2 linked regions of the Notamacropus eugenii genome follow. The protein of the gene in region 2 purifies or fractionates together with the protein of the main gene of each other region. This does not show direct contact. Links are inferred from orthologs where the notes say so. Each region holds a gene or a part of one and is shown on either strand. Other genes may lie near its edges. The genes, in order: DLST and OGDH.

Region 1 (10,039 bases), on a different chromosome or scaffold from region 2:
ACATAGAAGCAGCACAGTTTTGGAAGCTACAAGTTGAACTTATATATGTTATATAACTTGCATAGTCATATGACTCACATAAACATAAACTTTTTAAAAAAGTAAGCTGCATATAACATAAATCTTCAGTTCCATGTATGACGTTTTTCTGTTTTAAAATGTGTATTAAAATACCTATCTTATTTGGTGTTTCTGTTCAGAATATAAAAAAACAAAAGAGAGAATAATCTTTTCTGCATCCCCAAATTGTTCTATAATCCAGTCTTCCCCTTTTTAGTCACATTATAATGAAATGTCAACAAAGTATTAACAACCAACCACTTGAAAATTTGTTCAAAATCACTAATAAGAGAAATGATAAAATAACTCTAAGTTACCACATTACATCTATCAAAATACCAAAGATAAAAGATGACAAAACTCAAGGTGGGTGGTAGAAAAATCTAATTCACATTAACACATTGCTGGAGGAGTTGTGAATTAATATGACTATGCAAAAAAGCAATAAAGAATTATATAACAAAAGTCACAAAACATTCATACCCTTTAACCTAGAAATTTTGCTTTTAGATTTATGCCCTAAGGAGGTAAGCAAAAGGAAGAAAGGACTTATTTGTATAAAAATATTCACAGTAGCACCTTCCCTTTCTTCAAGAAATTCTGAACACCAAAAAAGTATTTCTGTATACAAAGTAGAATAAAAAGAGAACTGTACATAAAGATGCAAGAGAGTGTTTTTCTAAGTCTAATAAATTTAACACATTATTTTCAAAGCTGTACTCCTTATGTATTTCCTACTGACCTTAGTTCCGGCTCTCTATTCACTTTTTATAATACTCTGATAACCCATTTTTTTTTTTCAGTCTGGTATCATCCTATCCCCTTTTCCCCCCAAAAGTGAGAAAAAAATAAAATCTCTTCTTCAGATATGCACAGACAAACAAAACAAATCCCCACACAGGCCATGTCTGAAAATGGATGTCTCATTCAGCACCCTTGAATTCATCACCCCTATCAGAAGTTAATGTGCTTCAGCAGCATTACTTTCTTCTGCTTTTATTTTCAGTTCCAAATTCTCTCCACCCACTGAGAAGGCAGAAGAAACAGACATTACAAAAATGAATAGTCATGCAAAACAAATTCCAGAGTTAGCCATGGCCAAAAAGAGAAATGTTTTGATTTGTACTCTGAGCCCCATCAGCTTTCCATATGGAAGTGGTTAGGGCCATGGTTTCATCATGAGTTCTTTAGAATTGTGGTTGGTCATTGTTGTGTTCAATTACTAAATCTTTCAAAACTGATTATCTTTCCAACATTGCTGTTATTGAACAAAGTGTTCCGCTGGCTCTGTTTACCTCACTTTCTATCATGATGTTCATACACATCTTCCCAGCTATTTCTAAAAACATCCCCTTAAGTTAGTATAGTATTGGTGGGCCAAAGGACATGTGTAATTAAACAGCTTTGGGGGGCATAATTCTGAATTGCTTTCCAGAAGGGCTGGAGTAGTTCACAGCTCCACGAACAAGTGCATTAGGATATCTGTTTTCCACAGTCTGTCCAGCACATCATTTTCCTTTTTCATCATCGTAGGCAATATGATGGGTTCAAAGTGGTACCTCAGAATTGCTTTAATTTGTATTTCTCTAATTATACGCGATTTAGATTATTTTTTCATAAGATTACTGACAGCCTGAATTTCTTCCCCTGAAACTGCCTATTCATATTCTTTGACCTTTTACCAACTGGGGAATGTTTTTTTTCTTATAAACTGAACTCAGTTCCTTATATCTTAGAATGAGATCTTTTCGTGAAGTAAGGCAGAATAAAAAAAGCAGAACCCAAAGAACAGTATATGCCAGCCAACTAAACAAAGGAAGACAACAGCAGACAGAGGCAGAGGTGTTGTCCTGCACAACCCATACATGGGTCTTGATTTCTTTTACAAAATTAGTAAATAATAGAAAGATACCTACATATGTGCCGTTATTCCCAACTGTTTTCTCATGTTTATAGGGTCTGGGACTGTGTTTTTCATTGTTCTTTGTTTTTATTTTACGATTGTTTTTTGGGGGGGGGGGGACATTTTTTAAAAGCAGAGACATTCTATTCCAAAGTCTTCCTTCCACTGACATATTATTCCTGTGTTATTATCATTTAGTCTTTCCTGTTTTTCAGTCTATTAACATTTTACTTTCTGTCATGGCTGAGGAGAAGACCCTAAAATGAGATGTCTTCAATTCATGCTAGCTCTCTACAAATTCAACAAGAGGGTGAAAATGCAGTAACTCAGCTATCCCCTAAAGATACAGATTCTGTATGCCTACATTCTCTATAATAAGCACATGGTAGAACAGCTTGAATGACTGAAAAATGCCGAATTTACGTATGATCCTAAAGCCATCCCTTCCTTTGAAACCTTCTGGAATTAGCCTTAAAGAACCCACAGGGACCAAGACACATTTCCAGTTCATTCCACAACACATCCTTTCACTTCAATATTTCATTTTCCATCCTATAATAGACGAAATGTTTGCTGACAATAATTCTCAATAAGCTCATGTATCCTTCAACCTAATACGTCGAGCACCTGGATTTACAGACAGACTGCTGTTACGAGGAAGGGCAAAACTTACCAGGTAAAGACCGCCTCCCTAAAGGACAGTTCCCCTGTGGAGAGAGAAAGCATTACCAGAATTTCCCAAGAGATGAGAGGAAAAATTCCTCCTCCTCACCCACCCACGTAACTATCCCAATACTCCTGTAGTTTTAAAAAAGAAAAAAAAGAGGCTTACAAGGGCCAAGAGTGTGAGGAGCTTAAAGTGGAAAGGATGGAGCCCAGAGCCCTGAAGCTCCCCTCCCTGCAGGGGTCCCCAGGTCAGCCCCTGCCAGGCAGGGGGCCTGAACCAAGGCCCTCACCCCGCCATAACGCCGTTTGCTGAAGAGCGGCTTTTTCCAAAATGTTAAAAAATAAAAGTCCCCTTCACTCCCCGAAGGTGGGACTCGTTCCCCGGTCCTCGGAGCTTCGGGGAGAAGCATTCTCCGCGCCCCCCTCCCCAAACACCCGAGTCCCGCACTTCTCATCATCCTCTGGGGATGGGCCCGCAGGGCGTGCGGGTCACGGGGGCGGGGACACCGCGAGCCTGCCCCCGCGGAGTCCGGGGGACGTGACTAACCGCACAAGGCGGACGCGGGCCCTGACCTTCCGTCCCGGTCGACCGGGGATCCGGGGGGCCGCCCTCTTTCTAAAGGTCACGAGCAGGACAGCAGCCTGACCTCCGGGACCATCCCACGCTTCCTGGGGCGCAGCGGAAGGAGGCCCGGCCGGGGGCGCGGCACAGCCCCACGCCCGCCCCGGGGAGGAGGCGGGACGCGAGGCCCCGCACCCCGCCTGCTGCCTCTCAGGGCCGCGGCTTCGGCCTCCCCCTCGGCCTCCTCGTCCCGGTGCCCTTGGTGCCCGGGCCAGCCCCGCAGCCTGCTCCGCCCCGCCCCGCCCTGCCCTGCGGCCTCCGTGGGCCTGCCGGGCCCGAACGCGCGCTCTCGGCTCCGGCTCGCCCCTGGCCCGGTGCCTACCTTCTGGAAGGCGACGAGCGAGCGGCTGAACGCCCGGGACACGCAGCGCGACCGGGACAGCATCGCGATCCGGGAAGCCGAGCCTAGAGCGGGCGGACACCGGATATAGGGCCCGGCAACAGCCGGAAGCGCGGCGGGCGGTGCCACGTGAGCGAGGAGGAGGGGAGGCCAGGGCTCTACCATCGCAGCCCTTCGCGGGGGAAGGCCCCCGAGCGGCCGAGGCCGAGCCTGCCCGAGGACCCTTCTCCTCCGTCCGGCCATCGAGGGCGGGCACCGTGCCGCATGCCCTCCTTTAACTTCCCTAGGGACCTCTACGGGGCGCTTCATAAACGTTTTACGGATAACTGATACGGATGGCCAATAGAACCGCGATACCGTCTTAGCGCAGCGTCCGAATAGATCACGCCCTCCTTCCCCTCGCCCTCTCACCGGAGCCACCCCAAGGCAGCCTCCTGGGGGCCCTCAAGGGGACGGGGGGTACACAAGCTGGCAGAGCTGCCTGTGCCCGTCTTCCCTCCCGCCACCCCGTTAGCTCCAGGGGGGCACAGCCCCTGAATCAGCGGTCTACCTCCCCCAGCACGCGTTACAGCTCTGCGCACAGCAGGGGTTAATCGGTGTTAACATGAAGGGTAACCCTCTGCTCAGCTCCCTCCACAAACCCCTCCGCTTTAATCAGAGGCTCCCCATTGTTGTACATCCCACGGAGGAACTGGGCTCCTTTCCTTCTCACCTGCTGTCTGCTTAACTAAACCCTGACTTTCCAAGGCTACCTTTCCGATGAAGGCACTCCTCAACTACTCCAGCCCTTCTCTGAACTCCTGTAGCAGCTCTCAAGTCAAGGCCACCAACGTGGAACGTACATCACACATGGACTAGAAGTCACTTATGTGCCAGGCTCCCTGCCAAGTGCTGGAGATACAAAGAAAGTGCACTACACTGAGGCAGGAGAGTTCAGGATGAGAGCTGGTCACAACAACAGAACGAATTATTCTATCTAGAATAAAATCTCACATATGTTACTTTAAAATTGAATGAACTAGATTGTCAATCCCTTTGAGAATAGGGACATTGGCATATGCCTCTTAATATACAGAGTATCTAGGACAGCGTTGCACTCTAGAAATACTTACTGGTGATGATGAGTCCACTGGATGAAAGGATTTCATGTTGAATGAGTCAGCTTAGAAATATATTTATAGTTTATCATAAACTTGTTTTTAATCTAGCCCTACTCAAAAGTCAGAGGTACATCTACCTTATAGAAAGCCGTAGGTCATTGCTTATCTTCAGACTATGTTATTCAACATTTATCAAATACTTTCATGATATTATGCTAAGTAGGAAATGCAATGTATGACAGTTTAAGGGCCACATGGCCCTTAAAGTCTAGTTGGGGGAATAAAAAGTGTGCTATGAGCTGAGGACGATACTAGATAATGTATAATAGACAATGCAAGGCAGCGAGTGATGATACAAACAAGAATTGTTCAAGGAGGAAAAGGGAAATTAATAACTGTGATCAAGGTAGAGGTAACTAATGCATACTTCACAAAGGCAGTGAAGTTTGAGTTGAGCATTGAAAGAAGGAGAGGTAAGTGGACAGGAAGAGACAAGGCATTCTGAATGAGGAAAACTGCAAGAAAACGTACAGAGCTGGCAATGTTCAATGTGTAGAAGAGTAATAATAGACTAGTTTGACTAGAAAAGGCAGTTAGATGGCTCAGTGGATATAGATCTGGTCTCAGGAAGTCAGAAAGACCTGAGTTCAAATATGCCATCAGACGCTTACTAGCTATGTGACCTTGGGCAAGTCATTTAACTCTGTCTGCCTCAGTTGCTTTATCTGTAAAATGAGTTGGAGGCAAACCGCTCCAGTATCTTTGCCAAGAAAACCCCATGGACAGTATGGAGTCATGAAGACATGACTGAACAACTGAACAACAATGGAGGTTCTTGGATGCCATTTAAAGGTGTTCCACCTTTATTCTGGAAGACCATGGAATGCCATTCAAGGTTTCTGAGCATGATCAAAGTGATACTTTTAAAAGATTAACCTAGTAGGGGTACACAGGATGAACTGAAGTGAGGAGAAAGTGGAGGCAGGGAGATCAACCATTCATTCAACAAGCATTTATTAAGGGTTTACTGGGGGACAGCTAGGTGGTGCAGTGGATAGAGCACCAGAGCAGGAATCAGGGGGACCTGAGTTCAAATCTCACCTCAGAGACTTGACATTCACTAGCTGTATGACCTTGGGCAAGTCACTTGACCCCAATTACCTCATCCTAGGTCATCTTCAGTCATCCTGATGAATATCTGGGCACTGGATTCAGATGGCTCTGGAGGAGAAGTGAGGCTGGTGACCTGCACAGCCTTCCCTCACTCAAAACAAAGTCAAGTGCAAATCATGTCATCATTTCTCTGATGGCATGGTCTTCTTTGGCAACGACGGATGAACACACACATTAAGGGTTTACTATGTGTGAGACCCTGTGCTTGGCACTGCAGATACAAAGAGGAGGAAGGAGATAATGCAATAGAGGCAGGAGATAATAAACACTTGTTCCAAAGTGGCAGCAATGGGAATGGGAAACAAGGGACAAACTTGAGAAACATGGCAAAGATAGAATCAATAACAATGGTCTGGGGTAGGTTTTGAAATTGGGTGACTGGAAGGATGGTAGTTATAACCAAAAGAAACAGGGGGAAAAAAAAATCTGAAAGCAGAACAGGTTTTTTGTTTTCTTTCTTTTTTTTTTTTTTTTTTAAGGCATGGAGGAAGGAAGAAAGGATGCTATTTTTTGAATGGTCTGGAATAAGTGGCAAAGGACCAGCACACAGGTCCTATTATAATTACTCAACAGTAGTCAGCACACATGGGATTTGAACTGCTTAAGTTGTGCCTAAGGAATCAAGGGGAAGATGAGGGTTCTCTCAGAAAGGATATTTTGCGGTCCTTCATTAAACCACTTCTGTTGATATAGGCCCTACATCTTCAATTTCTTATCTGCGTCTGCATAGAAAAGCGTTCCTTTGGGTCCCATCTGGGCACTTAATAAATATTATTGAATGAATGAATGTTTATTGAATTAATGAAGTTTTATTCATTATTTATTAATGAATAAATTTATTAAATTTAGGTTTATTGACTAATAACACTGACTTTTTGGCTAAAGTTGTTTCATTTAGTGTCAGTTCATGTAGAACAGTGGCCGGCACATAGCAGGGCTTACCAGATACTAGATCAGTTGATTCACTGACACTATCTAGTCTTCCAGGTCTTTATCTTGCTTGCTATTTCCTGAAATCACAAGCCTACTAATGAGATTCTGTGGGGAAAGGTAGAATGGCTCCTGAGAAACTCTTAGCTTATGGAGGAACAATCCATAAATACCAACCATACTTAGAACAGCACCAGACCTATCTAAAGGCCCAAAGAACAATAGTCAGGAATCACAATAATTTAGATTATTCCAACAGATTATTAGGGATAGAAGAGATCCGAGAGATCAGTTAGTAATCCCTCCGCCTCATTTGACTAGCGAGATCAACTGACTTTCCCAAGGTCACAGTCAGTGGAGCTGAGACTAGAATTTAGAATTCCTGTCTCTTTTTCCTATTCTCCTTCCAATAAACTACTCATTCTTTATCTTTATTGCTATTAATATTGGTTGGGGGCAGCTAAATGGTGCAGTAGATAAGAGTGCTGGTCCTGCAATCAGGAAGACTCATCTTCTTGAGTTCAAATCTGGCTTCAGACACTTGCTAGCTGTGTGACCCTGGACAAGTCACTTAACCGTTTGCTTCAGTTTATCTGTAAAATGAGTTGGAGAAGAAAATGGAAAACCACTTTACTATCTCTGCCAAGAAAACCCCAAATGGGGTTACAAAAAGTTGGACACGACTGTAAGCGACTAAACAACAACAAAATATTGGTTTGTCATCTACTTAATTCCCTAGGAGATTTTTGTACTTTTTTCCGCTAAGGATTTTGATCATGAGCCTTAAACAAGTAAGCCTGCGATGTGGCAAATATGTTCTATGGACACATTGGTATCTACACAAACACACCCCTACACAAACTTTCTAGGGATACAAAGAGGCTCCATACTTCATGGCTACCATTCAGTTATAAAGTTTCTGTTTTCATAAAGACATGATCTACTGCAAGGGAATTTGTGATAAGTATTGTACCACAACTCAAAGACATTGTGCAACCTCTATTACTTATTTTCCTTTTTAAGTCACAGAGGGAGAGGATGGTAAAGCTGAGGAAACTTTGGTTATAAATATTACAAAAAGCTTTTCCCTAATTCTGCGCCCCCCCCCCCACCCAAAATCCCTCATCATTCTTTTTTGTTCTTATTCCTCTGCTTAGCTGGTGTCTCCACCCTCTCTCATTCAGAGAGCTGGATTCTGGAAATCATAGCACCTGGTCTTTTCCAAAAAGTTGAAATGAGGTATTTTGCTCAGGGATAGGTTTCTAAAGCCTCCAGCCAGGACACTGAAGGGAAGAGAAGACAGGGTTTTCATTTTGGAGAGGATTTGTCTAGGTCTTCTGAAGTCAGGGCCCAGAGCTCCACTTGATGTCATCAATCAGTCAATCAGCAAGCATTTATTAAGCCGCTACCATGTGCCAGGCCCCATGCTAGGTTCTGGGAATTCAAAGACACAAGTGAAATAGCCCACACACGTCTTCAAAGAACTTCTATTCATTGGATCAATAGATGGGGCTCATCTACATTTCTCTCAGATAAGCGTGGTATGGTGGAATTTGGAATCAGAGAACCTCCTTCCAAATCTCAGACCTGCTACTTAATACCTGGGTGACCAGGGACAAACCATTTATCTTTACTGGTCCTTAGTTTTTCATCTATAAAATGAGTGTATTCTGCTCTAAAGAGACTTCTGGGGTTTTGGGAAAGGAAGAGAAAGCCACTTTTTCAGGCTGTTATATTGAATTGAATTAAGCTGAGCTTTGTTGGCTCCTGAGCAACACAGCCATATGCTGGGGAAAGAAAGCCCAATTTGCACTAAACTGTACTTAATTTGCATATTCATAAGGTCCCCACAGCTGGTTGGCTGCTTTGGAACAGTCTCCCTTGCCTTGCCTTCTGTAAGGGCTTTCAATGCCAAAGGGAGAGCCAGTGGGCCCTGCCTTTCAGCCTGCCTACCACACCCTGGAGCCATCAGCAGGTAGCATCCCAATTCATCACAGCCTCGGTAAAAGGACTTTACTGTGGGGGAAAACAGAGGGCAATACCTGCCAAAGTTTATTTTTCTGCAAATATTCGTGGGGAGTTTTGTAGCCTCAAGACATCTCTCTATCTACCCACCTTTGAGGGGAAATGTTCCCCCGACTCGAAGTTACCAGGAACCGGATTGTTTGGATGTACTTCTTGGGTAAGTAATAATAACCTCTTACACTTAGCACTTTTGTATCCTCACAATAACACTTCGAGGTACTTAAAATGAGGGGATTGAGGTGGCATGAGTATGCGTATGGGCAAATAATAATATTCCCATTTTATAGGTTGAGGAGACTAAGGCTAGAATTCTCATTTTCTGACTCTATAGAGTCAGAGATTCCACAGAGAGGTTAAGGAGATAGTATGGTAAAGTGGAGTGAACACTGGACTTTGAAGGATAACCTGACTTCAAACACTTACTAACTGCGTTACCTTGGACATGTTTCTTAACCTGTCTGTCTCAGTTTCCACAGCTATAAAATAAAGATACCAGACACTTGACATCCTCTAAGACCTTTTCCAACTCTAAATATAAATTCTCTGCTCCTATAAAAAACCTTCAAAGCAACTCATTTCAGACAAGTTTGAGGAAGCCAAGGAGTTCCTGACTGCTGATGTGTCATTGAAATGAACAAGATTATATAATTACACGTTGTATAACTTCAGAATTAGGGATAAGGATGGAAAAGGCTCTGGGAATCTTGAGTGCTCTAGGACCTGAATCTTGGACGAACTTGGGCTGGTCTGTAAATGATGAGGATGATGATATTAAGGATTGCCGTACAGACTCCGCACAGGACCTGTGCACAGCAGGTACTTAAGAAATACTTGCTGAATGATTAGGATAACAAAAAATAACAACAGATGTTACCTTTTATCCAAAGACCTCAAAGTATCTTGTCATTTTAGTTTGTTTCTAAATTTAAATCCAGAAGAGTCCTTCCTATTTCTTAAAAACCCACGCACTCAGGAACACAAGTATCTTCCAGTCACTAGAGGTTCTCACACTTCTCGTGATGTTGGCTTTCTCCTTTGGAATCACTTTGGCAACAGTAGACTACTTAATTACACCCTTGCAGGGAAGTGGCTTGCTGGGAGTTCTTTCTTGATGGTGCTACTGTAGCTACCACAGTCTAACTTTCTATGGGCTGCAGCAGCTGTGGTTTAATATCTTTACCCTCAGTCAGACAAAAGGAGATTGCCCATTTAGCATCTCT
Region 2 (10,512 bases):
TGGGCAGGCCACCAGAAAAGAGGTTGATGTTGGGACATACTTTTTTGAAAGGTTACTGATCCCTAGCAAGGAGCCAGTAAATACAAGGTAAGATACTGAACCTTTAAGAGTGGGGGAAGGGGTAAAGGAATTAGCAAAAAAGTCAATCAGTCAGTCAATAAACATTTAGTAAGTGTCTACTACACGACAGGTACTGTGTGAAGCACTGGAGATACAAAAAGAGGAAAAATACAGTCCATGTCCTTGAGGAGCTCACAGTCTAATGGAGGAAATACCAAATAATTATGTATAAACAAGCCATATACAAGATAAAAATGAAATAATCAACAAAGGAAAGGCACTAGAATTAAGAGGGATCAGGAATGGCTTCCTAGAGAAGGTGGGATTTTAGCAACTTCAAAGAAGTCAGGGAAGCTAGGAGGTGGAAATGAAGAAGAACATTCTAGGAATGGGGTATAGCTAGAGAAAACCAGGAGAATTAGTGAGGACGGGAACATAGAATCCAGACAACACTATATCATCAGAGACAAAATAAGAAAATACTAGGCAATTGAGCCAATACAAAAATACCAAATTTAGATTCACCAATAGCGCCTTTTAATAAAATTTGAATTCTTAAATGGGAAGGATTAACATTCAAGAGTAATGACCAAGTTAAGAGTAATACACCAAATTACTTTCACAAGAATGAATGTAAGTGAAAATGAAGGAAAAAAAGAAATGAGCATGTTTTTAAAGCAGCTACTATGTTTCAGGAACTTTACAAATATTATTTTATGTGATCCTCACAACCCTTGAAAGTAGGTCCTATTATTATCCTCTTTTACAATTGGGGAAACTAAGCAAGAGAGGTTAAGTGATTTGTCAGTCACACAGCTAGTGCCAGGCTGCATTTGAACTCAGTTCTTGAAACATTCTCAGCCTATTGCTTCCCCTGGCTTCCTTTAAGGTCCAACTAAAATCCTACCTTCCACAGGAAGCTTCTCCCAACTTCTCCTTAATTCTAGTGCAGTCGTTTTGCTAATTATTTCCTATTTATCCTGTATATATGTGTTTGTTTGATGTATTCCTCATAAGATTGTGAGCTCCTCAAGGATTAGGTCTGTCATTTGCCTCTTTGTATCTCTAAGACTTAGCAAAAAACTTGGTGCATGGTAGGTATTTAATAAATGCTTATTGACTGATTTTTTTTATTTTGCCTCCAGGCTTAGCCATCCAGCTGCCTCAGGCTAGGAAAGCAGTAAACAAAAATAAATAACATTTGTAACTGAGATTTCCGGGTTTTTTCCCCCCCAATGGAGACTGGGATATGGGAGGAAGAGGAGGTGGATTTTCACTGATTTAAAAATTAATTTAAAAATAAAAAATTAAGCTACAGGGGAAAAGATGGACTTTTGAAAGAGAATACTCCCAAGTATTCCTGATGAAAATACTAGAGCTGAATAGAAACTTTGAAATTTATGCAGTAGAGATTTGTGGTTTCACATATAATTCCCTTTTTCTGTTCCACTTTGTATATAGTAATGTTCATTTTGTGGGGTGTTTCTTAAGTTCAGAATAAAAAAAAAAATTGGGAAAACAAATATAAGTAATGTGACAGTTACCTGATAAATCAAAACAGGTACCTAAAATAGGATCCAAGCAACTGGACAATCAACTGGGTTGACAAAAGGCAAAGGGCATCCTGGGGTATGCAGGATAACTCCAACACTGGGAAGACAGTCTTCCATCCTGGAGAAGCTAAAGCAGTTCTCTGCAGTTCTCAGTTGATTTTCAGAGATCAAGCAACTTTAAATAGAAGCATGTGGCCTGAGACCAAGATACTCACTGTTACTTAAGGTTACTCTGGCTGCTGAGGTCAAAGAAAGCCTACTCAGAGAACTGGAAAAGTGGCCACAATTACTGAAGGTACAGATGAGGCCAGCACCAAGGAAGTTCCTTCCTGAGATAGTACCTCTTGTGGCCTAGTGAAGTAGATGAAGTTTGCCATCTCTCCCTTTCTCAGTTCTAGATAGGAAGCTGGCAAAAGGCAATGAAAAGAAAGTGGGGTCAGAAAAGATGGACTGGAGTAGCAGACAAGGTGAGTTTGGCAAAACTGTTTTCCTTTAAAAGATAAAAAAAAAGTTTCATTAATAAGATTCTGAGGGCTTGGTTAGTCATGTTGCAGACCTTTGATAATTCACTTTATTTCCCTATTACTAATTTAAAAACACTTTACTGAACTTCTGGAAAGTGTGAATAAATGAGACTCCTAAGTGAAGAACAGGGAGTTAAGGGAATTGTCAAAGATCGTGGATTAGAGAAGCTACAAATCCCCTTCTTCCTTTAGGATCAGAGATGGAGGGTTGGAAGGGACCTTAGAGGTGGTCATCTGCTACCTAACCTTTCAAGAAAATGAGGATGGGGAAAAGACATTCAAAAAAAAGGAAAAGGACCTATTTATAGCAGTTCTTTTGGTGATGGCTAAGAACTGGAAATCAAAGGGATGCCCATCAATTGGGGAATGGCTAAACAAACTGTGGTATATGACTCCATTATAGGAGTATTACTGTGCTTTAAGAAATGACAAGCAGGATGATTTCAGAAAAACCTGTAAACTGTGAACTGGATGCATAATGAAGTGAACAGAACCAGGAGAACATTATACACACTAACACTTTCCACAAAGAACTGTGACTTAGCTATTCTCAGCAATACAACCATCCAAGACAATCCCAAAGGACTAATGATGGCACATAATATGCCTCCAGAGAAAGAACTGATATTGACTGAATACATACTAAATGAAGCATGCTATTTTTCACTTTCATGTTTTTCTTTTATTTGAATCTTCTTGTACAAAGTGACTAATATGAAAATGTTTTGCATAATTGCACGTGGATAGCCTATATTTGACTGCTTACTGTCTCAGGAAGGGGGGAGGGGAGGAAGTGAGGGGGAAAGATTTTGGAACTCAAAAATTTAAACAAAAATGTTAAAAAATTGGGGGGAAAGCACGTTATCCTCTACATAAAAAAAAGAAAATGAGAAAAAGTGAAATTATTTTTTCCAAGGTCACACATAGTTAGCATGTGGAAGAGCCTGGATTCAAACCTACATCCTCTTCTTTCAAAATCTTAAGTCTTTCTATTGCCTCACAGCCTTGTCTGAAAGGTCATCAACTGGCCAACCTTCTAACATTTTAAGTGTTACTTTGTCACAAAGATATTCTTGCTAGAACAAGCAGGCTCTATGGAAAGGTGCCACTCAGCTTAGGTCTGTTAAACTTCATACACTAGTTTAAAAGTACTTTGTAACTACTATTTTTCTCATTCCCAGAGGTTTGGAAAGAGAAGCAGATAATATCGTAAGTCTCTTAAGGAAAGATAACTGAGGGGGAATATAGCAAGGTCGGAAATGAGAGGTCAAAAAATAAAGTCCTTGATGAGTCTGCCCCTTCAAGGGCCCTGCTCCTTCCCTAGTTTTTAGAGAAAACTAATAGGCTTTAAAAAAGTAACTGTGTGGTTGTAAAAACGCCTCCAGTCTCCTCCAGGACCTCCCTTAGCCCCGAAATCTAAGGAACCGAGAGTCCGAGCGGAAATGCACATCCAAGACGCAGGTTCCACTAGGGGACTCCGGCTCTGCCAGACCCAGGCACAAACAAGACAAGAAGGCGGCTACAACGTCCCACCCAGGGCTCCGCCGGCCGCTCTCCAGCCGGGCTGGACAGCCAGGTGGGCGGGACTCCCGGGCGGGACGGGGCGGGGCGGGGCGGGTCCCCCGGCAAAAGGGAGGGCGAGTTCTACTCCCAAGGCAGCCACACACTCGAAGGAGCAGTAGGGCGTGCCCAGGATTGGAGGGATGGGGGTGGGAGTGGCTCAGACCCGACTTAGAATAGGAAGGGACAAACGGGACGAGGTGTCCGGACAAGATCACCTCCTTTCCAATGCCCACGTGATGTTCTCCCCTCGACCTTGTGGGTCACGGGAGAGGAGGCAGCAACTGGTTCCCTCACATCCGCCCGCCGAAGTAACCCCTCCCCCTCATCCCAGGCCACCAATAAGAATCCTCGCCGCGCCCGCGCGGCACCCGCAGCGCGCGCCGGCAGCCGCCAATCTTCGCCCGCAAACCGCTCCAGCCTTGCCCATTGGCTCCAGAGAAAGTCTTTCAGAATTCTCTCATCCCCACCCGTCTCCCCTCAGCCTCATCCTGGTTCTGACTCTCCTCCCTACCCCGTTCTCTCTCCCCCCCACCCCCTAGTCCCAAACCCCCTCCCCCTCCAGAGGGCCGGCCAAGTCACCCGGGCGGCGGCTGCAAGGACACGATGTCCGTGCTTCTTGTTCGTAGCTATCCCGCCCCTATAGCCCACGGAGCAAAAGCCCCAGTCCTGGACCTAGCCCCGGTCCCAGACAAACAAACAGAAGGAGCAAAGGAGTTACCTGTTTCCGACTCCGGCTCCACCCGGGAATGAGGTACCGACTCCCCCACACTCGGCAACACCAGTGCCTTCGCCCCGCCCCCTCCCGCCCGGCGTGTTACGTCACCACGCAGCCTGTCCCGCCCCCTCTGAGCCTGGAGAAGGTGAAACACCGCCCTTGGGCTCTCAGTTTCCTAACTCGTCTAGTTTATGCATTTGTGCCACCCCCGAGTTCTGGACTCCCGGCGCGTGAAACCGGACAGCTGCCTCTCGGGAGGACCTTCCTCCCTTGGGCCCGCTGTCGCTTGTGAGGCCTAACCCGGGACGCCCCCTCTAGAGATAGGGACCACTGTGCCCGAGTTGTGACGTCACAGTGTTCCGCGTCTCTGCGGCGTCCAGGGCCAATGGAATGTTGTGACAGTGGAAGGGCGCGCGTGCTGGACTCGCGCGCAGACCCTGGAGCGCAGCGCGGAGAAGGCGGTAGAAAAGATGGGGCCAAGCAGGGAGGCACCTGGGGCCCCCGCCCGCACGTGGGTTCTCGACTCTTTCCGCACGGGTCACACAGCGCTTAGTCATCGTTTCTAGGGCCCTGCCTTTCCTTAGATGTTGACAGCTGGGGCTGGAACCTCATCTGAGATGGAATAATTACTTAGTTAAATTCAGTTCAGCAAGCATTTATCCACCAGTCGCTTGATTGGATTAGTGAAATATTAATGTTTTCATGAGATAATAGGAATAAGTACGTGTAGGTTAGAGAGCAGCAGCCTCTTTCACATGGGGATTCTGAAGTTTATTTTTTTAATATGGAATATGCTGTTTCAATGTGACTTTTTTCCTTTGTAATTCTTTGTAATTTATTTTATACATTTACAAACATTATTCTGAGAAGGGGTCCATAGGCTTTGCCATTATGCCAAAAAGGGATCCATGACAGATGAACAGTTAAGAACAGCTGTTGTAGAGGTGTTCTGGTATGACTTTACCTCAGGAAGTCCTGGCTTCAAATTATTCTTGGTGTACTCACTAGTTTTGTGAAACCTAGATCATTTAACTTGTTTGTGCTAGGCTAAACAATAACAACAAAAACTTTTTGTTGTTTAGTCGTATCTAACTCTTCCTGACCCCAAATGGAATTTTCTTGGCAAAGTTACTGAAGTGGTTTGCTATTCCTTCCCTACCTCGTTTTACAGATGAGGAAACTGAGGCAAACAGAGTTAAGTGACTTGATGAAGTTAGTAAGTATCTGAGGCCAGATTTGAACTCAGGTCTTCCTGACTCTGGACCCTGCACTTTAGCCCTGGGGGAAAAAATAGCCAAGGAAGAATATTGTCTGACAGGTGATAATGTTTAATATAAAATTTTGGAATAATCTCTTTGTTCTCTCTAAAGCAAACTCAGAGAATGCCTCTTCCTATGTCAGCAAAAGCCAGCCAAAGCTGACTCTGCACTCCTTGGGAGACCTTTAACCTATGACATATCTTGAATAATGGACACATACTACGTTATGGGATATTAATGGTAAAGAAAAAATAGGCATTCTGGGTTTCTATTGAACATTGTTTACCCTTTCCTGTGTCAGTTACCTGTTTAGGGCAGGAAGCCTGCCACTTACTAGTGGTGGGATTTCCTTCTTTATCACCGAGACATATGTTTACCCAGCTGGAATCCCAAGGCCTGACCAACATTACTTTGTTAATTGTCTTGTCTTACTAAATTTATGATTTGTTCAACTAGGAGAGTTCCTTTCTCCCGGCAAAATGTATATAAGCCAGAAGATTTCTGCACTGGGTAGCCAGAACATTTCTGGCTCCATAATGCATTATGTTACCATTATCTTTAATAGGGAATTGATTAATTAATTAATTAAATCATAAAATGTATGCAATTAGCCTGTTGCCTTTTCTTAACCAAGTTTTCAGGTCAACACAGGGAAGCATGAGTATTTTGAATCATAATCTACACCCTCCACATAAAGCCTCAGTAACTCTAGTCAGTATTACAAACTATAGTCAATAAACATTCATTAAGTTCCTACTGTATGCAAGACACTGTGCTAAGCTCTGGAGATACAAATACCAAAAAAGACAGTCCCTGCCCTCAAAGAGCTTACAGTCTTATGAAGAAGACAATACAAAAAAGCTGAACGCAAGTTGGGAGGGAAAAGCGAACAAAGTCCTAAATGAGTGCAGCTGGAGAAGCCAAAGAAGCTGGAAATGAGTGCAGTCAAAAAAGTTCAAAAGGCCCATAGAGTATCAGAGGTGGAAAAGACCTTACAGGTCTTTTGTTTAACCTTCTTATTTTGTAAACGAGGAACTGAATCTCTGAGGCTTGAAGTAGTAGAAGCAGAGACAGCTGACAGGAAGCAGGTAAAAGGAAATCAAAGAGGAGGGGACATAAAAGAGGGACTAGAGAAGCATATAGGTTAGTTGAATAATTTTTTTTTGACTCAGAAAATCAGTAAGTTTGCTTTTAAAAAACTTAATTGTAATGCAAATAAACGCAAGCAAGTGAGACAGCATTTGATTTCAGATCCCTTCGAGATCAGCCCTTTCTTTCCGTGGCACTCTATTGGCTCCATATATTTTGGCAACTATGGTGCCTTATACTAATCAGTGTAAAGATCTATATTCATGCTAAGATCTGAAATCAAAGGACATGGTTTCAAATTACACCTGTACTATTTACTTACCACCTGTGTGACAACTAATTAATCTCTCTTGGCCTCAGTTTCATATGAAAAATTGCTAGATTAATTCATTCAGCAAGGATATATTACTCAGCTACTGTGTGCTAGGTTCGGGAGATAGAAAGAAAAAAGGGAAAGAAAGATTGTTCTCTAGGAGCTTACATTCAACTGGGCGTAAATAACATCAACACAGAAAAATAAAAACAAAAGAGATTAAAAAACAATTAGAGCAAATAGGGTACTAGTAACCAGTGGAGAGAGGTATACTGATATATGTTAACAACTGACTGACTCTCCAAAAGGTCCTATTAACATTATTAACATTTTCTCCTTAGCTTTCTGAAGTCTTAACAATCCACAAAATAATAAATTAAGGACTGATTTGTAGAATTTGCTGATTGAAAATGTAACAGTTGACTTTTCTATCATTCTGGCTCCGGGAAGGGGAGTGAGGAATATTTAGATGACCACTGAGGTCCCTTTGCCACTCTTAATGTACAATCCTATTTTTTTCTAATTGTTTCAATGAGTTTGTTTACCAGAAAGTTCCTTAAAGGCCTATGAGACTCCTTCTCATTTTTATGTATGCCACCCACCCGTGCATAAAAAAGATAAAAGCAAAGGCAGTGCTTTACTGTCTTATGAAAGAATCTCTGAGACTGCTGGAGAATGACTAAAAGGCATTTAGAGACCATTTACACGATGTACTTATTTTACAAATGAGGGAAATATGCCCCAGACACATATCCCAGAGTCTGACAGGTTGTAATTCCCCTGGGGCCAACTGCATAGCACCTTAATACCTTGATCAGATTTGCATAAAATAGTCTTGTTGAGTACTACTGGGGTATAGAAACAGCCTGTCATTGCAAGATATGTAGATAAGCATTCACTGAGCAGTCGCTAAATTTTTGTGCCTCAGGCAACTCTGTAAGATTTAACTAATAAGTCACAGATGAATGATTGTCCTACTTTGTACCACTTGAAGTCTCAAGATGCACACATCTAGAGAACCCACTCCTAATGTTTGCATGGACTATTTGTGCCTGACCTGTGGTAGAAAATTCCAGGTCATATTGGTCTGATCAGGCACAGTCAGACACATTGTAATTTGACTCTAACATAGTGCTGTCATTTTGGTCCTCTTTGAGAACAGAGGACAATCAACCACTTGAAGTCCAGAACACTAAAAACATTAAGAAGGCAAAAGAATACTTTATATTTGCATATTGCTTCATCGTTTTCAAAGGGCTTTCACATTATCTTATTTGATCCTCAATAGATGATGGTTGATTGTGTCAGTCTGTTAAAGTTTGATGACACTATCCATTACTATCCAACTCTCTTTACTCAGACTTTATGTACTAACAAACTTTTTTTAATTGTGCTTTCCAGCTAGATTTTCTGGCTGGAAAGAAGAAGCACCGGCCAGCCATACTTTGGTCCATTCACTAATTAGTCTGCATTAATATATGAGCATTTTAGCTTCATTAGTCAGTCTCTTGAGTTGTTAGTATATATTGGTCCTCCACAGCTTGGTTAGCCCTTAAGTGAAGGAATAAAGTGGAGTTTCTGTCTCTGCAAATCTGAGAACCAGTCCTTGGATCTTTGATATCTCCTAGTGCTGTAGGATCTTGCAATATAAGGAGAAAGCCTGAAGTGCAAAATTCCATTTCTAGCACACTAACAAAGAGAAAGATGTGTATTTTTTTCATTGTTTGAACAACATGGTAATTAACATTTTTGTAAAATTCCAAGTTAAATGAGCAGTATTTTTCAGGTATATCATGTTATTTTTAAGAACCAAAACATTTACAAATGATGTAGTCACTTAAAATGTGATTATACATCTAAAGAAACCTTTGGGTCAATGTTGGATAAAAATGTTTTTGTTAAACTCTTAACATCAGGAATGTTTTTCTCACTTCACTAATAGTTTTTCAATAGTGAATCAAGTAGAAGGCTGGTAGGAATAATGGTAAATCAATAAATTATCAAGCATTTATTAAGTACCTATTATGTGCCAGTCATTATGCTAGGCACTAACTACTGGAACAAAAATGAAACAATCCTTGTCCTCAGGGGTTTACATTCCATTAGAGAGAAAAGGTGTAGATATAAAAGTACATATAAGAAACGTTTAATATAAATGCTAGATTATTTTGAGGGAAGAAGGCACTAGTAGAAGGAGGGACTAGGGAAAACTCTAGGTAGAAGAGTGACGTTTGAGCTGAGTTTTGGGACAAATTAAATTTTTAAAGAGGTGGATATGAAGAGAGAGTACATTCTAGTCAGAAGAGGGGTAGGATTGGGGGAAAGATAATGAGTTTTGTTTGGACATAGACTTTGAAATGCCTGTAGGACATCCTAGTCTAAATGCGTTAAAAGGCATTTGGCTCTCTCAGGGAAGAGACTATGGATGTGTGTATATTTTTTTAGTAACATCTTCATAGGAATGATATTTGATCTTATAGGAAGTGACAAAATCACTGAGAGAGGGGAGGTAAGGAAACGCCCAAGTCAGAACTTTGGGGAATATCCCCCTGTTTAGGGCAGGATATAGATGATTAAGAAAGATATTCTCATAGTGTTTTTAATTTTTCCTCTCCAAGAAAGGTGTAGTCCTATATCGTGACTTAAAGAGCTCCTATCATTTGCCAGTATTGTCTGGATTCTGGAAAACATTGTCCATTCAGAGACCTGCTCCAAGGTAGATCAGCCTAACTAATCAACAAACAATAATATATTGAGCTGTCTACTCCACGCTAAGCACCAAACTAGGCACTGGGGATACAATGACCAAAATAAAACAACCCTTGACCTCAAGAAGCTTACTTACTATTGAAGAAAAGGTAGCAGAGTAAGGCAGCTTAGTGGAAACAACATTAAATTTGGAGTTAGAGAAGCTGGATTTGAATCCTGGCTGTGATTCTTACTACTTGCTGGACCTTGAGCAAATTGCTGAACAGTCAGCCCATGAACATTTATAAAGCACTTTCTATGTGCTAGGCTACTAAGAGTTAGATATTGAAAGAAAAATTGCAAACATACTCTTCCCTCAAGGAGCTTGCATTCTAAAGGATGTGTGTGTGTGTGTGTGTGTGTGTCACTAGCTGCCCATAATTAGATATTTACTCCAGATACGGAGCATATAAAAGTAGATGAAAGATAGCCTTAGGGAGGAAGGCGCTAGCAGATGGGGAAACTGGGAAAAGCCACCAGCAGATGATAGCACATAAACTGAGTGTTGATGGAAGTGAGGGATTCTGGGGATCACAGGTGAGAAGGGAGAGCTTTCAAAGCATGGCAGATAGCCAGGAAAAAGGCAAGAGATGGAGTCCCAATTGTGAGGCTAGATTGGCTGGACTCTAGAAAGCAGAGACTGCATTTGTTTTCTATCTACTGTTGACCTGAAAACTTTGTTAAGAAA

The links.
Region 1: the proteins of OGDH (region 2) and DLST fractionate together in Homo sapiens (co-fractionation; 3 studies listed by BioGRID). This does not show direct contact. The link is inferred for Notamacropus eugenii from reciprocal best matches to the Homo sapiens genes OGDH and DLST.

Annotation. Positions count from the first base shown.
Region 1 is NC_092878.1:57,651,914-57,661,952, reverse strand, and holds the start of DLST (dihydrolipoyllysine-residue succinyltransferase component of 2-oxoglutarate dehydrogenase complex, mitochondrial), read right to left. Parts: upstream 4,600-10,039; 5' UTR 3,901-4,599; coding exon 3,574-3,900; intron 2,671-3,573; coding exon 2,637-2,670; intron 1-2,636. UniProt on the Homo sapiens protein: Dihydrolipoamide succinyltransferase (E2) component of the 2-oxoglutarate dehydrogenase complex. The 2-oxoglutarate dehydrogenase complex catalyzes the overall conversion of 2-oxoglutarate to succinyl-CoA and CO(2).
Region 2 is NC_092872.1:522,887,749-522,898,260, reverse strand, and holds the start of OGDH (2-oxoglutarate dehydrogenase complex component E1), read right to left. Parts: upstream 4,577-10,512; 5' UTR 4,419-4,576; intron 2,020-4,418; exon of another isoform or gene 1,605-2,019; intron 1-1,604. UniProt on the Homo sapiens protein: 2-oxoglutarate dehydrogenase (E1o) component of the 2-oxoglutarate dehydrogenase complex (OGDHC). Participates in the first step, rate limiting for the overall conversion of 2-oxoglutarate to succinyl-CoA and CO(2) catalyzed by the whole OGDHC.